Linked DNA regions of Rattus norvegicus. The protein of the gene in region 3 interacts with the protein of the main gene of each other region in a biochemical or structural test. Links are inferred from orthologs where the notes say so. Each region holds a gene or a part of one and is shown on either strand. Other genes may lie near its edges.

What was found.
Region 1: the proteins of Itk (region 3) and Lcp2 form a complex in vitro, tested with the Homo sapiens proteins (2 studies listed by BioGRID, with this or other methods). The link is inferred for Rattus norvegicus from reciprocal best matches to the Homo sapiens genes ITK and LCP2.
Region 2: the proteins of Itk (region 3) and Erbb3 form a complex in vitro, tested with the Homo sapiens proteins (2 studies listed by BioGRID and IntAct, with this or other methods). The link is inferred for Rattus norvegicus from reciprocal best matches to the Homo sapiens genes ITK and ERBB3.

What each region holds. Positions count from the first base shown.
Region 1 is NC_086028.1:19,168,869-19,175,359, reverse strand, and holds part of Lcp2 (lymphocyte cytosolic protein 2), read right to left. Parts: intron 6,203-6,491; coding exon 6,165-6,202; intron 5,043-6,164; coding exon 4,844-5,042; exon of another isoform or gene 4,396-4,843; intron 2,631-4,395; exon of another isoform or gene 2,571-2,630; coding exon 2,473-2,570; exon of another isoform or gene 1,309-2,472; intron 1,023-1,308; coding exon 974-1,022; intron 872-973; coding exon 788-871; intron 1-787. UniProt on the Homo sapiens protein: Adapter protein primarily involved in signaling pathways within T-cells, as well as other immune cells such as platelets, mast cells, and natural killer (NK) cells.
Region 2 is NC_086025.1:1,577,588-1,582,979, forward strand, and holds the end of Erbb3 (receptor tyrosine-protein kinase erbB-3), read right to left. Parts: intron 5,236-5,392; coding exon 5,089-5,235; intron 4,988-5,088; coding exon 4,890-4,987; intron 4,801-4,889; coding exon 4,612-4,800; intron 4,478-4,611; coding exon 4,406-4,477; intron 4,215-4,405; coding exon 3,914-4,214; intron 3,757-3,913; coding exon 3,230-3,756; 3' UTR 1,492-3,229; downstream 1-1,491. UniProt on the Homo sapiens protein: Tyrosine-protein kinase that plays an essential role as cell surface receptor for neuregulins.
Region 3 is NC_086028.1:31,259,032-31,265,522, forward strand, and holds part of Itk (tyrosine-protein kinase ITK/TSK), read right to left. Parts: intron 5,130-6,491; coding exon 5,065-5,129; intron 4,981-5,064; coding exon 4,862-4,980; intron 2,029-4,861; coding exon 1,871-2,028; intron 1-1,870. UniProt on the Homo sapiens protein: Tyrosine kinase that plays an essential role in regulation of the adaptive immune response. Regulates the development, function and differentiation of conventional T-cells and nonconventional NKT-cells.

The DNA.
Region 1 (6,491 bases), about 12 Mb from region 3:
GAAAGATATGGGTTCAAGTCTTAACCCACCTATACAAAACAGGGCATGCTATTTAGCCTCTCTAACCTTCTGTCGTCTGAGAGGTGGAGAGAACACACCCCTTCACTGACTTGGCCCAAGGATGTAAAGCACCTGCTCCATCCTAGCTGCTCCATAAGTTGTAGCTAAGTTGAATTAAAGAATAGCTCTACGTAAGGGGAGCTGGAACCATGAGTAAATTGTGCAAAAAGTTCATAGTGTTTTATCAACTGTACACACCCACTGCAAAAGGCAATTTTGATATCCAAATGTTTTAGCAAATGTTTCCTCCTTGCCAGGAGACTGTGGCCTAAAAACGCAACATCCCCTGGGTCAGCAAAATGATAAGTATCGACCAAAACAGCTGACTACAGCTCTTCTGGTGCTCTTGCCTCTCAGCCCCTTTTTCCCTTGAATACTGGGTTCCATCCTGCCCTGTCTTGGTCAAAGTGAACACAGCTTACAGGCCTGGTGGAGCAGGCACAGCCCAGGGACTAAAAGCAGGGGTTCAGGCACCAGGCTGATCTGGTTTTGGGTCTCTGTCTTCCTCATTTGCTCACTGAGGGATGTTGGAAAGTTATTGCTTTGTGCCTCTGTTTCTTCCTCTGTAAAATGAGGATGTTTCTCATGAATTTACAGTATTGTGCCAGTAGTAAAACAAGATCGTGTGTGTGTGTATGTATGTGTATGTGTGTGTATAATATGTGTGTGCTTAGCACTCTATAAACGTAGCCATTATTATTGTGCATAAAATATGAGCAATACCAACCCAGTAAGGGCTCTCGGTCAAGAGGAGGAGCCAATGAGCGGTCCAGGGGAGGTTTTGTGCTTCTGTCTATTGATGGAGCAGGCACTGGAGTGGAGAAAGCTGAGGTCAGTTAAAAAAGAAAGAAAGCATCCGGCTGGGAATTGGGTGGGTGGGCTGGGGGGGGTGCAGAAAGCACCCTGTACATACGCTTTGCTGTTTTATGGTTCCGATTTCTGCTAGGTTCTTCATGGTTGGGCTGGGCCGGAGACAGTGGCAGCATGGAATTAAAAAAAATAATAATAACCCAGTCCAAATGTTTGGAAATTTTCCCACTTTTCCCTCTCCAAAGGTATCTGGATCCCTTTTCTCCATCTCCAGGTCTGTCCCGCAGCTAGCTGTCAGCTGAGTTGCTGAGGTCGTGCCCCTCTGAACTTCCTCACTCTCTCATGCTTCAGCCTTTTGCATGGCAAAGAACCAAGCAGAAACTTCCCTACCAAGCCCTCCAAGGTTCTAGTCACATCAGAAGTGAAATATGACACCACCATCACCACCACCACCACCACCTCCACCACCACCCCTACCACCCCTACCCCTATCCCCCATCCCCCCACCCCCATGAAGCCCCACAGTAGATGCCCTGCCCACCATTTGAAGCCATTTCTATGTTCCTCGCTAATGCTCCATGGTCCCCGAATAAGGATCTCCTTACAGTTCTCACAAAACCCAAAGCTCATACCTACTCGTGAACATCTCTGTGCCTATGTTTCCTCTGCCTGGGATGTTCCTTCTGCGTTCCCTATGACTGGCTCGTCCTGTGCCAGCTCGGTGTCAGCTCTGTACACTCTGTCATATTACTCGGCCCCCTGTCTTCCTAAACCACATACCCAGGTCATTTCTACATCTGTGTGCTTGTTGATAGCAACACGGTATGAAAGTCGGAACATTCTGTACTGTTCCGTGTTCTTCCCCCGGCACAGAGGACACTGGTGTGAAGTAGTAGCCCCATCAGTATCTGTTGACATGATAGGCAAAGCCTGCCTCCCAGTGGTGGAGGTGCCAGCCGTCTGATTTCAAAAGCAAAATGCCTTTCCTCCCACCACAATCTCCCCTCCTAGCTCTGTCCTGGCCCCTTGCGGAAAGAGCACATCGATGACTCCTTTAGACTGAGCTTCATGTAACCTCCATAGGAGCTGGACTATAATGCTGAATGAAAAGGGAAAGTGGGGCTCGGTGCCACTGTTTCTCTCATGGGCTTCACCGAGTTGGAAATCTTGTGGTCTGAAGGCGTTCATCCCTGGAAGTTCTTGACCTTGCCAGCAGGTGGCGCAGCGCTGCTTGCACGGGGAGGCCTACCTCGAGAGTCTAGGCAACACCGGAAGATGCCAGGCCAGACTTGGTTCTCCCACAGTTAAATAGCGGAAGTAGCACAATGATATTGGAGAAGGGGAGTATCTCATTATACACGCAGTTTATATTGTTTTTGGTGCAAAAAAACTGCCAATAAACATTATGCTATACATAGAAACTGCTTCTATGTCATCACAAAATTGAACTACTGAGCGGAACGTGAGGGTGTGCATTTTTCCTGTCATAACCGCCTCTTACAAACTTAGAATTAGGTCAAGATGCTTAGTTCCTTTTCTGTCTACCGGAAGAACGAATTGTAGTGGAAACAAAGCGGCCTGGAAGAAAGGGAAGAGGCTTACCGAGTGATTCCGGCCTGTTGGCAGGGGAGGGAGGGCGGCCATTGGTCTCTGCGGGGGCACCGGAGGCTGCTGGGAGACCTTGCCGGTGGGAGGCCGGTCTGTGGAAACACAATATTAAAAAGAAAGGAGAGCCGTTTAATACCACCGGGGAAGCAGAGGTAGGTGGATCTCTGAGTTCAAGGTTAGCCTGGCCTACAGAGCTAGTTCTAAGACAGCCAGGGCTACACAGAGAAACTTTGTCTCGAAAAACAAAAACAAACAAACAAAAACCAAGAAAGAAAGAAAAAAAACGAAAAGAGAAAAAATTAAAACGTTTGAATTAGGCTTCTTCTAGAACATGTTGTGCCTGACTATAGCTTGAGGTGTCAGGAGCCTCCTCCAGATCTCCACCGGTACCAGCATGAATTTGACATATAGTCAGACCCAGCCTGGGTCCTACAGGAGGCAGGAAGTCCTTGGCCCAGATCTGTCCCTCATCCTGCAGATTTGGTTTAAGTCTTCTTATACATTGGAATAACTCCCACAGTACCTTACACACAAACAGGTAATATCTGAGACACCTCTAGCCAAAGGAAGCCTCTAGAGAATTACCCCAGTGTTTTCAGATACAAATTCTACATGTGTGGACGAGCAAGGGTTCATGTGCATGCACACATGATCCCTGTGCATATATGTGCACATTTGCAAATATAGAGCACAAGTGTGTGTATTCAACATGCACATGCATGTACCTATGCCGTGAAACATGAGTGTATGCTGACACTTAAGCATGCACAGAGACACGTGTGTGCATGCCTGCATACATATGCTCACACTGCACAGGATTAAGTTCGCTGCCACCCTCATGAGCTCCTCACTCTGTCGCTTCCTTCCCTTCACAGGTACTCTGGGCTGCTATGTTCTCCTATTTCGTCCTTTGTCTGTCCCCTCCCTTACAGGGAGGGGCTGGCTCTCAATTCTGTTACCAAATTAAACAGCCCATGGTCTCGCCCTAGACAGACACATTATTCCGATTGCCACAGAACTTCCCAGAACCAGTTTGACAAGTTTGGGATTTCTTACCCCTTTGGGTGGGAAAGGCCAGCACCGGACAGCGAGGCAGGAGTAGCAAGTGCCTCTAGCATCCTGTACTTTTGGCCCTGGAGGCTTATCCAAGCTGCAGAAACCCCAACTAACAGACTGACTAACTGTTGGTTTGGGGAAGATTGAGGAAGGAGTCTGGAACTTCAGACTGGAAAGGCTGTTGTGGACTTGATCTACCCCTTTGTTAGCCCTATGAAGAATATCATTTCCCTTCCAGAAGGAAGGGGGTTCGGGCAAGGGGTAAGGGGAAGTCTGGTATCCATACCACAGGCTGCCTTTCAGCTCCTCGGATAGCCCATGTTCCTTGGGACCTCAGGGCCTCTGCACTGCCGTTTTATGTGCTTCAAATGTTCCTCCCCTACCCTGTTCGGCGTCATTTAACCAAACCTTCCTCATTTGCCATTCAGTATTTAATATCAGCCGAAGACTGTCGCTCAAATACCACACCCTGAAGGAGCAAACCCGTTTATTATGCTGGCCTAATGGAGTGACAGGATGCATTAGCTTAGTGTCATGCATTAGCTTAGTGTCGCCTCACCCACTCCACCAGGAGTGCTCAAGGATGAGGTCCGTCATGCTCACTCCATGTCTCTGTGACAGGCACCTAGAGATACTCACCAGCCTGGTTTCCCTTTTCTGCTCTGTCTGGAATAGCCTCAGTGATGGCTGAAGCTCCCTGCCTGTTAGCTTTCATGTTCTATCCCTCAATACACAAAGTCAGGTGGTGGGGCGCAGTCTGAAGCAGAGTACAACACAGCTCCCAGGGTGAGACACATTGACCCCTGGATGCAGAGGAAACCGAGTGTGCCTATGCTCATTTTCTGTTACCTCCTCTTCTAGAAAGTAATTCCCACCGGATAAAGGTGCATCTTCCTTCCTGGTAGATTCCAGCACATGGTGTCTGGCTCATAACAGGAGAGGAGAAGCATTCGTGACTTCATGAATGAATGAATGAGGAAGAACATGTGAGTGCAGGACGGCAGGTAAATGAGGAACATCCTAAAGTCTGTCTCATTGTAAAGGCAGAACCAATCCCTCTGAGTGCCCTCACATTTCTTATGACCTTCTGTGGATGGCGGTGCCACATAACCACCCTCTTCCCATCAAGCCTTTGTCCTCTGTTCTAGTATTATCCTGTATTACTCATAAGGAAACAGCCAGAGAGGCAGAGTCTCTGGCCTCAAGCCACCAGTTTTTCAGAAGCTGACAGGAATCAGCACCCAGAGAAGCTCAATGGGCGGCTTCTCCCAGGGCTGGCAGGACTAGCGGGCTGCGACGAGACCCTTACCAATGTACATGGAGTTGGTGTTGGGGAAAGGCTTGGCAGGCAGGATGGAGTTCTGCAGAGCCTCCTCATCGTTGGAGGGTGGCGGCTCATAGTCAGCAGCATCGTCCACTAGCGTCTCTTCCTCCTCGTTAGGGGACTCATAGTCACCATCATCCTCCCCATCTGGATCGTCGTCATTGGGACTTTCATAGTCATCTTCCTGTCAACACAGTCGAGGGACGTCACAGCTAATACGGGTGTCACAAGGCAACATTTTACAGCATGAACCTATGAGATCTCTGCCCGGGACCCCAGCATCCTCCCGGCAGATCTGTCTGTGATGGCCTCCAGAGACTAGAAACTCGTGCTTTGGGGACAGAACTGAAGACTAGTCTCTGGCTGAGCATGGGAAGACTTAAGAGGAGCTTTGGCAGGGATCCAGCTGCTGAAGCACAAACACATCTGGAGAAACTAGTTCTCTTGTTCCTTTTTTACAAAATAAATCTGTTGCATTCCTTTGCTTTCCCATATTTAAAATAAAAAACAGACTTGCAAACCATTTTCTTTCAGATGAAGTACTTTCATTTACTGGAATGCCAATAGGACACAGGACACTCAGTGCATGGTTTTTAAAAGACCTAAAGGTGGCCACTTGCCAGAAAGACCACTTAGACCGAGGGTTGGACAGCCTGGGTCCCAGATCTGCCTTTACCTGACAAAGAACTTTGCACAAGGCACATCCCTCCAGCTCTCTCTTCCATCACAGAATTTTTTAGCCCCTGTCTATCTTTGTGCATGGTGACCATGTGTAGTTTGAGGAAAGAAGATGCATAGTCCATTGGACTCTGAAAGGTGTTGTCACCATGACCCTTCCCATGTAAAATCGGCATGGGCACCTCTCTGGTGTTAACACTCCATTCTGCAATGCTTTCCCCTATGCGTTATCAGCGGTGACTTAACTCCATGAGAAGAGTTACAGTAGCATAGATTTCTAGTAAGGATAGTAGAAAGGAATGGATAGCTGTTGTGATTGGGTATGGTTGTGAAGATAAATGGTGTGGCAGTGAGTTACAGCCCACTTCTGTATTCATCAGGGAGCCCACTCATTTGCTCGCTGCCCATGGCTGCTTCTAGGCCACAGAAGCAGAGCTGAGTAGTAGAGAGAGAAACCTTTGGGCTTCCAATGCTGGACATATTTTACTTTGGCCCTTTCCTGGGACCTGAAATGGGATGTTTCAATGCCTTGTTGGTGGAAGGAGACTGCTCCTTTTCTAGTATTAAGACCAATGTACAGCCATTCTGGCCATATATACAAGGGTGATTTAGCCCAAGCCATACTCACAAAGGATGACCAGCCACCATCGTCTTCTTCATGGATTTCTATGAAGGAGATAACACCACCATCAGAACCAAACAAAGTTAGAGCAGTTCTCCCTCCCAGTGATCATTACAGGCCTTCATTCTTCCTTCTCCGTGAATGGGAGCCATCAACAGCTGTGTTGAGTACAATTTATCCCACCAGAACTCATGTTAAATCCTAATGTAATGGTATTGAGGAGTGATGGGATCGTTAAGAGAAAATAAGATCAAAGGAAACTCATGAATTGATTACCATCTTTCTTAAGAGACTTGGGTCTTTCCATGCTGGAATAGGTGTCACATAAGGGCC
Region 2 (5,392 bases), on a different chromosome or scaffold from region 3:
ATACACCAGAAGAGAGCATCTGATCTCTTTACAGATGGTTGTGAGCCACCATGTGGTTGCTGGGAATTGAACTCAGGACCTCTGGAAGAGTAGTCGGGTGCTCTTAACCGCTGAGCCATCTCTCCAGCCCAGATATGGTCACTTTTTTTTTTTTCATTTCAATATGCATGTTCTTTTATTTGGAGGAAACTTCAGAATTCTCAAGTTATACATTGAAATTGTTTATAAATAAATACATAAAATTTCATTTATACCAAGAAGCTGGTTTATATCTTTATCTTGTGGGGAAAGCTAATTTATTTAGAGATTCATATAAAAATAATAGTTGGTTTGAAGAGGTCTAAGAAAATGCTGACTCTTAAAAGTTTCACTTACTGAGTGATAAACTAAGGTCATGTGACAGGAGACTTTAACTGTTAGATTCCAACGTAAATTCAAACTCCTCCCATAAGAAGTAATTTTCATGACTGTTTCCCTCACACTTAAATAAGTTGAATCAATTAAATCTAAACTCCAAGGTCTCATCCAGGTTACTTTTATGAGTCTGTCTGCAGGAAGCCACAATCCTGCCCATTCTATACTCCCAGGAAGGTCTTCTCACCAAAGAGTTAGGCCACATGTTCCTTCACTAGGAGTGAGATATGGTCACTCTTTTTTTTTTTTTTTTTTTTTGGAGCTGGGGACCGAACCCAGGGCCTTGCACTTCCTAGGCAAGCGCTCTACCACTGAGCTAAATCCCCAACCCCGAGATATGGTCACTCTTAAGACAACCAGTTCTAGGTCATTTCAAGTTTTCCTGTGTAGGAAAAATAAAAAAACAACCCAAGGCTTGGGGTTTTTCATTTTCTCCAAACAATCCGGAGTTTGGGGGTTTTGTTTCTAATTGTTTACACTTTTGCTTCTTTGTACCGATCCAGTAAAAAGGACTAGAATATAAACAGGGTCTGGAGAAATGGTTCAACTATTATAACCTGGTATTCTTGCAGCGGGAAGGGAGTTCCCAGCACCCATGCACAAGCACAAGTTACATGACTGTAACTCTAGCACTGTGTTGGTTTCCTTGGGCACTGCACTCCGTGAACGTAACACCATTCCCAAACCCCCACTCTCTCACATACACATAATTAAAATCTTAAAAACATAACAAATGGGGCTGGAGAGATGGCTCAGTGGTTAAGAGCACTGACTGCTCTTTCAGAGGTCCTGAGTTCAAATCCCAGCAACCACATGGTGGCTCACAACATCTGTAATGAGATCTGATGCCCTCTTCCGGTGTGTCTGAAGACAGCTACAGTGTACTTGTATACAATAAATAAATAAATCTTTAAAAAATAAAAATAAAAACATAACAAATAAAAGCCTTGGAACATTACTTGTTACAGAGTGTCAGAAGCAGAGAAAGCCATCCATTGCTAAGAAGCCAAGAAAAGGAACGGCCTCATGCATTTTTCACTTCACAGGAGTACACAAAAACAATCAAAAAAGTTGACATTTTTAGACAGTATAAAAAAAAAACTTTAATGGTACAAGAAGCATTTTCCCCCCAGTTCCCATCCAGGAAGACTGAGGTCTGAAGGTGGATCCTCTTTCTATCCCATCTCATTACTGGTTGAGAACAGCTCCTAAAATACAAGTCTTGGAACCTTTGCGAATTGGCTTGTAAGGAGTATGTATCTGCAACATGTATGGCCTGCGGCTTACACAAACATGTCTGGTTACTTGTCCTTCTATCTAGTCTCCACTCCTTCCTGAGATGAGAGGCCTGGGTGCTGGAGGAAAAGTGGCTGGTAGCATTTGCTTGATTCAGTGCATAAAGAAATGTGACTGGTAGCCACAGCCTTCAAAAGGTGAAGCTAGGGTTGCTGTGTGTGGAGTCCTAGGCCATCCTGGGCTACATGGTTTCAGGCCAGTTGACAGAGTGAGACCCAGCTTTACACAACACTTTATAGTACAAGCACAGGTATGAGAAATGGGAAGATTTTGAATCCTGGACCTGTTGCTTTATTTCTTCAAGGCTCAGTCCCCCATTTTCTGAGGTTCTGCTGTCTGTCCAGAGTCTTAGTGACCTGTGATCAACTGCAATCTGAAAATGCTGAATGATAAGTTCCTGAAATAAATAATCCCTACAGTTTACATCGTACACCATTCTGAGTAGCACGATGAAGTCACAGCCACCCTTTCCTGTCCCACTTGGTAGATGAATCATCCCTCTGCCTAGTGCGCCCACACTGAATAACCTACTTGCTCTGTACTCAATTACCCACCTGCTTATTAGATCGAGTGACAGCAATACCATACTACTTGTGTTCAAAGACCCATTTTATCTAAAAACAGGCCCAAAGTGCAGGAGTAGTCATGCCAACTCAGACATGTCAAAGAGAAGCGTTTTCTTTGAGAAAAGGTGGAAGTTCTTGACTTCACATGGGGGAGGGGATCATATGGTAATGTCTATAATAAAAATACATTAAATTAGAAAAATAGAAAAATTAGTACAACCTCTGCTGTGGCACCTCAAACTAAAAAGAACGATAAGTTCTTATTTAAGATGGAAAAGTTACTAAACACAGAACTTAGTTTTGTACACCAACTAAAATGTTAAAAAAAAACAAACCACAGGATTCAATATTATTCACAGATTCAGGGGCCTACTGGCTATCTTGGAACACTCAAAAAGAGTCTGTATTGGTGAAACGTGGGATCAGTTCTATCTCACAAAACTGGAAAGATTATAATTGAGACACTGTAGGCAGAGTTCAGCATGAAGGTGCCTGACTCACAGTAAATGTTCAGTTCATAGTTACTGGTATCTACTCTTAACTTTAATTCCTCAAAGCTTTAAGCTTCTAAATCTTCCCCTGGGATTAAAAGTCTCATAAAATGTGTACTTTCCTCTATTTCCCTTCTTCAGAGTCTGATGGGGAGGAAAGGCGACGTTTAAGAGTCTAATCCCCATGAGTAAGAACCTGAGCAAAAGGGTCCAGAGAGCAATCCTTCATATCTCCAGGGAGAGTCCCTGAGGAAGCGGAGGAACGGGGTTGGGAGAGGAGACACACAGGGCTACGTACCGCAAAGTTTGCGGGGATATGTTGACAAGTCTCTAGGAACTGGATGGCATTGTACAGGACTGGAGAAATGGAGGTGGGACCTCAGAGAGAGGGATGAGGAAGGGGTACCCTCGAAGAGGCACTAGCTGCCGCCACACGCCCGCAGAGCGTCACGGAGCAGAAGTTTACGTTCTCTGGGCATTAGCCTTGGGGAAAAGCCTGCTGTGCCAGTAATCGGGGTTGTCGAAGGCAGAGTCGGTGGCTTCTAAACTACGCAGAGTTTTGAGGCGGGCATAACGAACATGGGGGGCGTGATGTCCAGGCCCCTGGAAAGCTCGCATCTCCTCGTACCCTTGCTCAGCTGCTGGGCAGGCCCCCATAGCTGCATAGTCCCCTCCGGCGCCACCCGCACCACGCCTCCGGTTCATGTACTCATAGTCTTCATCTGGAGTTGTGCCAGCAGAGGGCACGATGGCCATGGGATGGAGCGGGCAGCTCTGTGTACTGCCCAGAGAAGCACTGAGGTCTGAACCCACATCCATGTACTCGTAACCCAGTTCTTCCAGGGAGCCAGGCCTGGGGGGCCGAGGAGGGCTACCCCTTCTCTTCCGGTTCATGTATTCATACTCCTCATCTTCATCTTCCTCCTCAGTACCCAACACAGAACTGAGACCTACCGACGAGAGGGTGCCTTCCCGGGAGGAGGACGCACCTACGGGTGAGAGAAACTCTTAAGTACGTATAGAACTTTGTAGAAATAACCAGAAGGAATGGGAGTGAGTGAGTCATCAGAGAAGGTAAAAGAACTAAGGGGAGCTCGGAGAAAAAGCTTAGAGGAAGATTTGAGAAAATCGCTGGAAGAGTCGTACCTCTGAGGTGTGTATCTGGCATGACGTAGCCATTGCCGTCCTCCTCCTCTAACCCTGGTGGGGAGAGCGGGGTCACAGGAGTAAGCAGGCTGTGTCGCTGCGAATGGTAGGCACTGTCCCCACGAGGCCGCGGGCTCCGACTCCGGCTTCGGCTCCTACACACTGACACTTTCTCTTGGAGTTCAGCCTCAGAGCCTGTCACGTGGCCCTCTGATGACTCTGATGCTGGACGCCCCCGTGGAATTGGGTGCAGAGAGATGGGACGGGAGAACTGTTCACGACCCCCCAAAACCGCAGAATCCTACGGAGGAAAAGTCACGGGAAGCAATATAAGGATTACACAGATTATATACATGCCCAGTTTTTGAGGAAGGTGCAGCTGTTCAGGTAGGGCCTTTTCCATTGCCGGACGCTGAGTAAACCTTCAAGATTCGAAACATCTCCACATTTCTATAAACCCAAGACCATAACACCCAAGCCAGCACATCTTACCAGACAAGCCTCTCCGAGACTGCTCTGGTTCATGGGCATGTACCCAGATGAGGGACTTAAAAGGCTCTGGCTCTAGGATGAGAAAGGAAAGAAAAGGGTTAAAACGAAGGAAGAAATCTATTCCTAGCGGGGAGGCTGATGAGTGGTGATTCTGAGTGGATTCATTGGGTCCAGGGAGCAGAATCTTGTGCAGTTAGAAGACTTACCCCACGTGGCCGGGTGAGCGTTCCCGTAGGCAAGCTGAGAGCAGAACCCAGGGAGGTGGCCAGGCCCTCCTCCTCTGCCTCCAAGTCTAGGTCTAGGTCCAGTTCTGGCTCCAGCTCTGCCTCCTGCAACTCTTTGGTGGTCAGAACAGAGGGTTCTGCCGCAGGAGGTGTTCCAGGCCCACTCGCTCTCTACAGGAGTAGACATTCGTCAAGATGCATTCTCGTTCTCGATAAGTCTGTTCCCTAAACCACTTTGACTTTCTCTAGTCCCCACTCACCTTGATGACCAGATACCTTGGTGGGTCACGGGCCATCCTGGTAAACTCATTGGCTAGTTCTTTAAAGGTTGGGCGAATATTCTCATCAATCATCCAGCCTGGGAAGAGATGTGGAAGGTTGAGTCAGAAGAGAGAACAGAGCCATGGAAGAGAAAGGAGGAAGGCGGTTAGAAAAGGCTAGGGTCAGTGGCCTACTCACACTTGACCATGACCATGTAGACGTCAATGGTGCAGATCTGGGGCTGTGCTAACCGCTCTCCCTTCTCTAGCAGGTCTGGTATTTCAGCCAGTCGTAACCCTGCATAGGGCTCTGCCCCGAAGGTCATCAACTCCCAAACTGTTACACCTGATACAGGAAGACATTAAGTGGTAACTATGAGGGCTGGGGATTTAGCTCAGTGGTAGAGCGCTTACCTAGGAAGCGCAAGGCCCTGGGTTCGGTCCCCAGCTCCGGGGGGGAAAAAAAAAAAAAAAAAAAAAAAAGTGGTAACTATGAAAAACAG
Region 3 (6,491 bases):
GAATGCTGGGAGTAGGAGACGTAGTCTTCCCCAGGGATGAGCCCCCTGAGTGGTTACCAGTGGTCATCCCCCAAATCTTACACATACAAATAACTTTAAGTGGACTGAGTAGGTTTGAGTTTGTATATCTGTGTATGCGTGTGTGTGTGTGTGTGTGTGTGTGTGTGTGTGTGTGTGTGTGCGCGCGCGCACGCACATGCGTGCATGCACAGCAATCACAATTAAAAAGTGGTCATGATTTTGAGAAGGAGCAAAGATTTAAAAGAATACAGAAATAATAAATTAAACCTCTACGAGATCCTTATTGGAGGAGATCTGAGTGACTGTTCTGAGTGACTGTTCGGAGTGACTTCTGAGTGACTTCTGTTCATGAGGAGTTGTTAGCTACAACTTCGAAAGCGCAATTCATGGGGGAAATGATGCTGAACTTGTTAAAACTGGAAAACCTCCATTCAGTAAGAGACCCTGTCCAGAGGGACGGTGGGATGGCTCAGAAGGCAAAAGCGCTTGCTGCTAACTGACAGCTTGAGCCCCATCCCTGGGACCCACAGGCAGAAGGTGAGAACTGACCCTTGCAAGTTGTCCTCTGACCTACCTAGGTGCATACTAACAGTGTACGCCACCCTCGGGGCTGCATACACACACACATGAAATAAATAAATAATGTGATTTAAGTGACACTAGTAAGGGCTGGAGAGATGGATCAGTGGTTAAGAGCACTTGCTGGGATCAGGGTTTGATTCCCAGCCCCTTGGGGCTGCTCGCAACCATCTGAAACTACAGTCCCAGGGGTTCTGAAGTCCTCTTCTGTTCGCTGTGGAACTTCGTAAGTAGGGTGCACAGACACGTGTATAGGCACAACACCCGCACGCATAGTTTTTTAAGTAAAAGCATTAAGGAAATTGCTAAGAGAATGAAAAGGTAAACTGTAGGCTTGGAGAACACATTTGCAAAGCATATAATGATAAGGAACCCTTCTAAAGCCAACGATAGGAAATAAACAACCTGAGCGTTTCACTAAGATTACAGATGGCACACAAACAAAAAGAGGCGCAGCACGGCCAGCCACTAAAGAAATGGCAGATGAGACAACATAAAATATAATCTCCCCCTCCTCTGTAGGAATGGTGATGTCCAGCATAACCAGTACTGGTGCGTATGAGACGCAGCAGGGCCGGGCATGGGGGTGTACACCTTTAATTCCTGCACTTAGGAGGCAGAAGCAGAGACAGGTGTATCTCTGTGGGTTCAGGGCCTGGTCCACACAGTGAGTTCCAGGAAAGCTGGGTCTATGCAGTACCAACCAAACCAACAAACCAATAAAAACAAAAGCACCAGAATCCATCATTACTGCTAAGAATGGGCAAAAGACTTAGGAACACAACCCGACAGCGTTTAGCTTCTTAAATCAACTAAACAGTGTTAACATATGTTCCAGCAGCCACTCCTAGGCATTTACCCAACCGAGTTGAAAATTTATGTCCGTTAGATTCACTTTAATAGATTCACATGCAGTAAATGCTTATAGCAGGTTTTCTCATAATTGCTGGAAACTGAGAGCTCCTTTTAGTAAGCACATGAATAAACCAACTATGGTATGTCCATACAAATGGAGTACTACTCAACAATAAAAAAGAAATAAACAATAAAAGCCAAGGAACCACATTGATAACCACACACTGAAAGATCATACTGTACTCCCTATGTACGTATAGTTAAAACATGATTATATGCAGAAACATGTACAAAGCCCTGCCTGTTTATTATGGTCTTCCTTGATCCCCATCCTTGTAGGTCATGTCCTTTCTCGCTTGATGCGGACCCTGAAAGTGTGTGTTACGATCCAGGGGGAATCTCCCTGTGTACTGACCTCTTTCCAGCAGTGATTCATGACCTGGTAGACATGAGGGGAGGCCAGGCGGGGCTTGTATAACCGAAAGCCAGTGCTGATGTCTTCCACGACCTCTGAATTGCTTCGGTTTTCATATGGGATTTTGCCTTCGCTGAAGACTTCCCACATCAGTACACCTAGAAGCAGCAGTGAACAGAAAAACAGCTAGGGGGAAGGTGCACATGTACCAGAGAGACTCACGCCCACAAGCAACAGGGCCCTTGGAGTGAGTATTAAGTCTACCCCTCTAGACGTCTGGAAGTGCAGTATCAGGCCTTCCCTTAATTTTTTTCATTGTTCTATTTTAAAATATTATTTTACTCTCTCTCTCTCTCTCTCTCTCTCTCTCTCTGTGTGTGTGTGTGTGTGTGTGTGTGTGTGTGTGTGTGTATGAATGATCGCCATGTGTGTGCATGTGCTTGAGGAGTCTAGAAAAGGCCACTAGTTCTTCTGGAGAGATTCTGAGGTATATACAAAGCAAATGGATTTATGTCTAGACTTCAGTTTCATTCCCAAGCTCTCTTGCTCTCTCTCTCTCCTACCCCACACCGTAGCTATAAATACCTTTACGTATATATACATGCAAATATTCCAAACCTAAAGTCTAAACCATTTGTGGTGTCAGGCATTTCATAGACAGAATCTTAACTTGTTTGTAGACACTGAGGGGAAAGCATCTTCCCACAGTATGTTTCTTCACTCCTTCATCCATATACAAGCTGCCTCAGCTTTGTCTTTCTCGTGTACTGACAGATCACAGACTCAGAAAAAAAATGGAGGTTGCTGGTGTCCTGACCAGAGGGGTAAAACTACAGGACTGGAGGATGGAGTTCCCCAAAGTTTGATTCTCAAATACCCACTAAGAGCCAGCTCCTACACTTGTTCGAATGGGAGACTTCTGAACCTCACCCTAATACCCTCCTCCTGGGGTCACTAACCTGCAGGCTCCTCTGAGATGCCCAAAGACCTGGAAATCAGAATCTGACTGTGAGGAAGACTGTTCAGTGTCCCAAGGTGCTAGGATTTCTAGTAAGGTGTCTTCTGAAGTGAGTTGTTGGGGCTACTGGGTATTGACTGCTTTAACGTGAACCCTCTGAGGCATGAAGAGGCAGAGTTTATAGAGGCTGCTGACTCGCTCAATAAAAGCAATGGGATAAATCACACAGACTGCGTTTATGACAAAACCCACAAGGCTGAGCCAGGCAGGAGGCTCGTAGCCTGCAGGTTGCTGTGGTTTGCACATACTACTGTCTGTCTTTCTCTTTTCTTCCTCTTTCTGTCGGTCCACCTGTCTATCTTCCCATCTGCCTGTCCGCCTATCTGTCTTTTTTCTCTGAGACAGGATTTCTCTGTGTAAAAGCCCTGGCTGTCCTGGAACTCTCTCTGTAGACCATGCTGCCCTGGAACTCAGAGATCTGCCTCTGCCTCCCCCCGTGTTATGCGCCAGTGTGCCCTGCTGCTCCTACCTGTTTCTGTTCTACCCCTGTCTCTCAACCTCATTCCTGGACTCTTTTCAAATCACACATCTCAGGAAGGGATGCACTTTAGACTTCTGGAAAACCCAGTAGACTATCCTCTGGTTGACACGCCAAGACTTCCCAAACTCCCTTCTGCAATGTGCTGGTGAAAGTGCGTATAGCTCACACTCTAAACATCTTTGTTGGGTGCCACCTTGGCAGTGTCCGTGGCTCTATAACCCACAGAGAGATAGCCACGAGTTGTCTCTGGCCTTCTTCTATACTTGTGGACAGTTGTGCAAGGAAGACACCAGAACAATTGCCTCCAAATTCATCCTGTAACTTCTACCCTGTTAACAGTAACAGCCAAGCCCAGAGGTGTGTGTGTGTGTGTGTGTGTGTGTGTGTGTGTGTGTGTGTGTGTGTTGAACTAAGGAACAGAGCAGAAAGATTCATAATTAACAAGTTCTGGACTCGTGGGAATAGGGCATTCTAAAGTGAAGATCGCAGCACCGATTCTTACCCTGGGAGACTTGATCTCCCATGCTCGTGCCACTGAGTTTGTGCCCTGGAAAACCTTTCACATAGAATAGCAAGGTCAACCCAAAGCAGTTTCTCTCCGAAGTGCCATCTGTACAGTCATCATATTGGAGCGGCTATTTGGTACACTTTCATGCACACTGTTTGTGTGCACAAATTGTGAGTTAGACTGACGTCAAACTCAGCAAGTTATTTAACCTTTCCCACATGTTAATGTCATTCATTCCCACCAACTGTTACTGCTGTCTTTGTTCTCCCTGTAACTCAGGAACTCTTGCTATCTCTGGATGTAGTTGAGTTTTCATACTTTCTCGTCCCTGCCAGGGACACAGCTTCATGAATATTTGAATGGAGACATTTGTCCAAGAGTTACTTCTAGAAGGCCTTTCCAGAGCGTACTGGGTAAAATGGACCCTTCCCCCGCCCTAAATACTCTCTACCAATGCTGCTTTCCTTGAGTCACAGCACTCACGGACCCAAACTCCACTTCAGTGACAGTCATCTGTCTCCTCTCCCCAAAAGTTTAGCTTCAAGAGGATAGAAGTCTCTTCTGCCCTGTGCCCTCCTGCTTCTCAGCCCCTGAGTAGCCCAGGAGTGTAACAGACACTCAGGAAACCATGGTGAAGTGACAAGAGCTTACGGAGGATTGAGTATGGGAATGTTGGACCCAGTAAGGTCCTGCTTTCAGCTTCATATTCCAATCTCCCGACAACTCCAGCTTTCCAGCTCACAGTAGCTACCCCAAGTCTCCTTTTCCATTATTATTTTTAATTTCTTAGCCGTTCTAAAGATATCTAGAGATAAAGGCAGCAAAAAGAGGCTGCTCGGACATTTCAGGCTGTTCTCACGCAGGCCCTCGTGGGTTCTTTCTCCACACAGGGGTCAGAACAAAGTAGACTTGTTTGCATTTGAGAAGGAAACAGCTGGTGCACAGTTCCAGATCACACAGGGGCGGGCTCAGGGTGAAACTTACCAAATGACCACACATCTGACTTGCTGCTGTAGCGGCTGAAGGAGAACACTTCTGGGGATGCCCACTTCACTGGGAATTTGGTGCCCGTGGAGCTGGTATATTGATCATCAAGGACAAACCTGGGAAGAGGCGAGGAAGAGGTCAGAACAGTGCAGGGCTGAGTCTCCTTCCTGACGGCAGCTGATCCCACACCCTTCCATTACCTTGTCATGCCGAAGTCGGACACCTTGATGACCTGGTTTTCTCCCACCAAACAGTTCCTGGCGGCCTAGATCAGAGACAGGTAGGCAAATGAGAAATAAAGTCGTGGGTGGTGAGCCAGGAGAGGAAGGGACTCCTGTCACTAGGCTTTGTTTCTCTGTGTTGCTGTACAAAGTCACTCAGAGCCTTACAGATGTTGAGCATCACCGACAGCCTGCAGAGCTAGCTGGAAACTCAGCGAGTTTGCCGAGTGTGCAAGCCCTTTTATCAGGATGAGGAGTTTATTTTCTAATTATTAGAGAGACCCAGCCTTGTGCAGCCAGTAATTCACTGGAATGCAACCTGACAGGGTAGGCAGTGCTGACATTGGGGCTGCCTGCAGTGCCTCCCAAGCGATTAATATGAAAGTGATTAATAAGAAGGCCAATCCCCTTAATGCTATCCTTAGTGGGGAGAGTACCTGGCCCCTGTCAGTATCCTTTAGGTAGTCCATGAAGAGTCCTGGGAGACAAGAGAACAGGTGGGTGGGTCTCATACTGAAAAGTACTTCCCTGTCCAACTGGGGGCTCACATGACTACTCATGATCCCTGCCTGTAAGAGGTTCCCAGGCTGCCCCTCAGGTTTGGGTGCAGCTTTGGTAGAAAAACAGTGCTTCAGCCCAAGTGCCCATCAATGAGAGAAGGGGTAAAGAAAAGGTGATGTGTATAGACATGGATTGGGGTGAGGGGGTGGAGGGGAGGGTACTCAGCCACAAGGAGGAATGAAATGATGCGTTTTGGGGGAAGTGGGATGGAACTGGGGAACATCTGGTTAAGTGAAATTGCTACACTTAAGGACAAACAGCATGGGTCATTTTTCCTCACACATGAGATCTAGATTAAAAATGAGTGAATGAATGAATGAATGAATGAATGAAGCATGCAGGTAGAAGTGGAAGTGTCTGTGAAGAGGAAGGGAGCCATTGAGATCAGGGACAAGCGATGGTGAGGAAGAGTTTGAATACGATCAAAGCATAGGAGGCATACATGGGAAGAAGGCATAAGGAAACCATCACTTCGGACACTCAGCATATGCAAACAATAGGTTTTACAAAGTGAAAGTGTTCTGGCCTATCCCCTTCACTTTTACAGGGGGAAACTGAGGCACAGAGAAGGGAGTTAGGAGTAGTTGTATGTTGGAAGAATGTGGATTGAAACTCTGAGGGCACATGTTCGAGGAATGGCCCGGTGTAGTTCAGATCTGAGCACTGGAAACATTTCCCTATCAGGGGCCACCTGAAGTGGGTGGAGCAGGAAGAGGTCGAGAGGAGGGAAGGCTGTGTGGGACACGCTACTTAGTGATGCTCCCTCAGATTTGGTAGCATTGCATTACAGGGGAATATGCATTCCTTTGCCCTGTTCTTGCAGGTGTTGGCCCCCTGCATTTGCT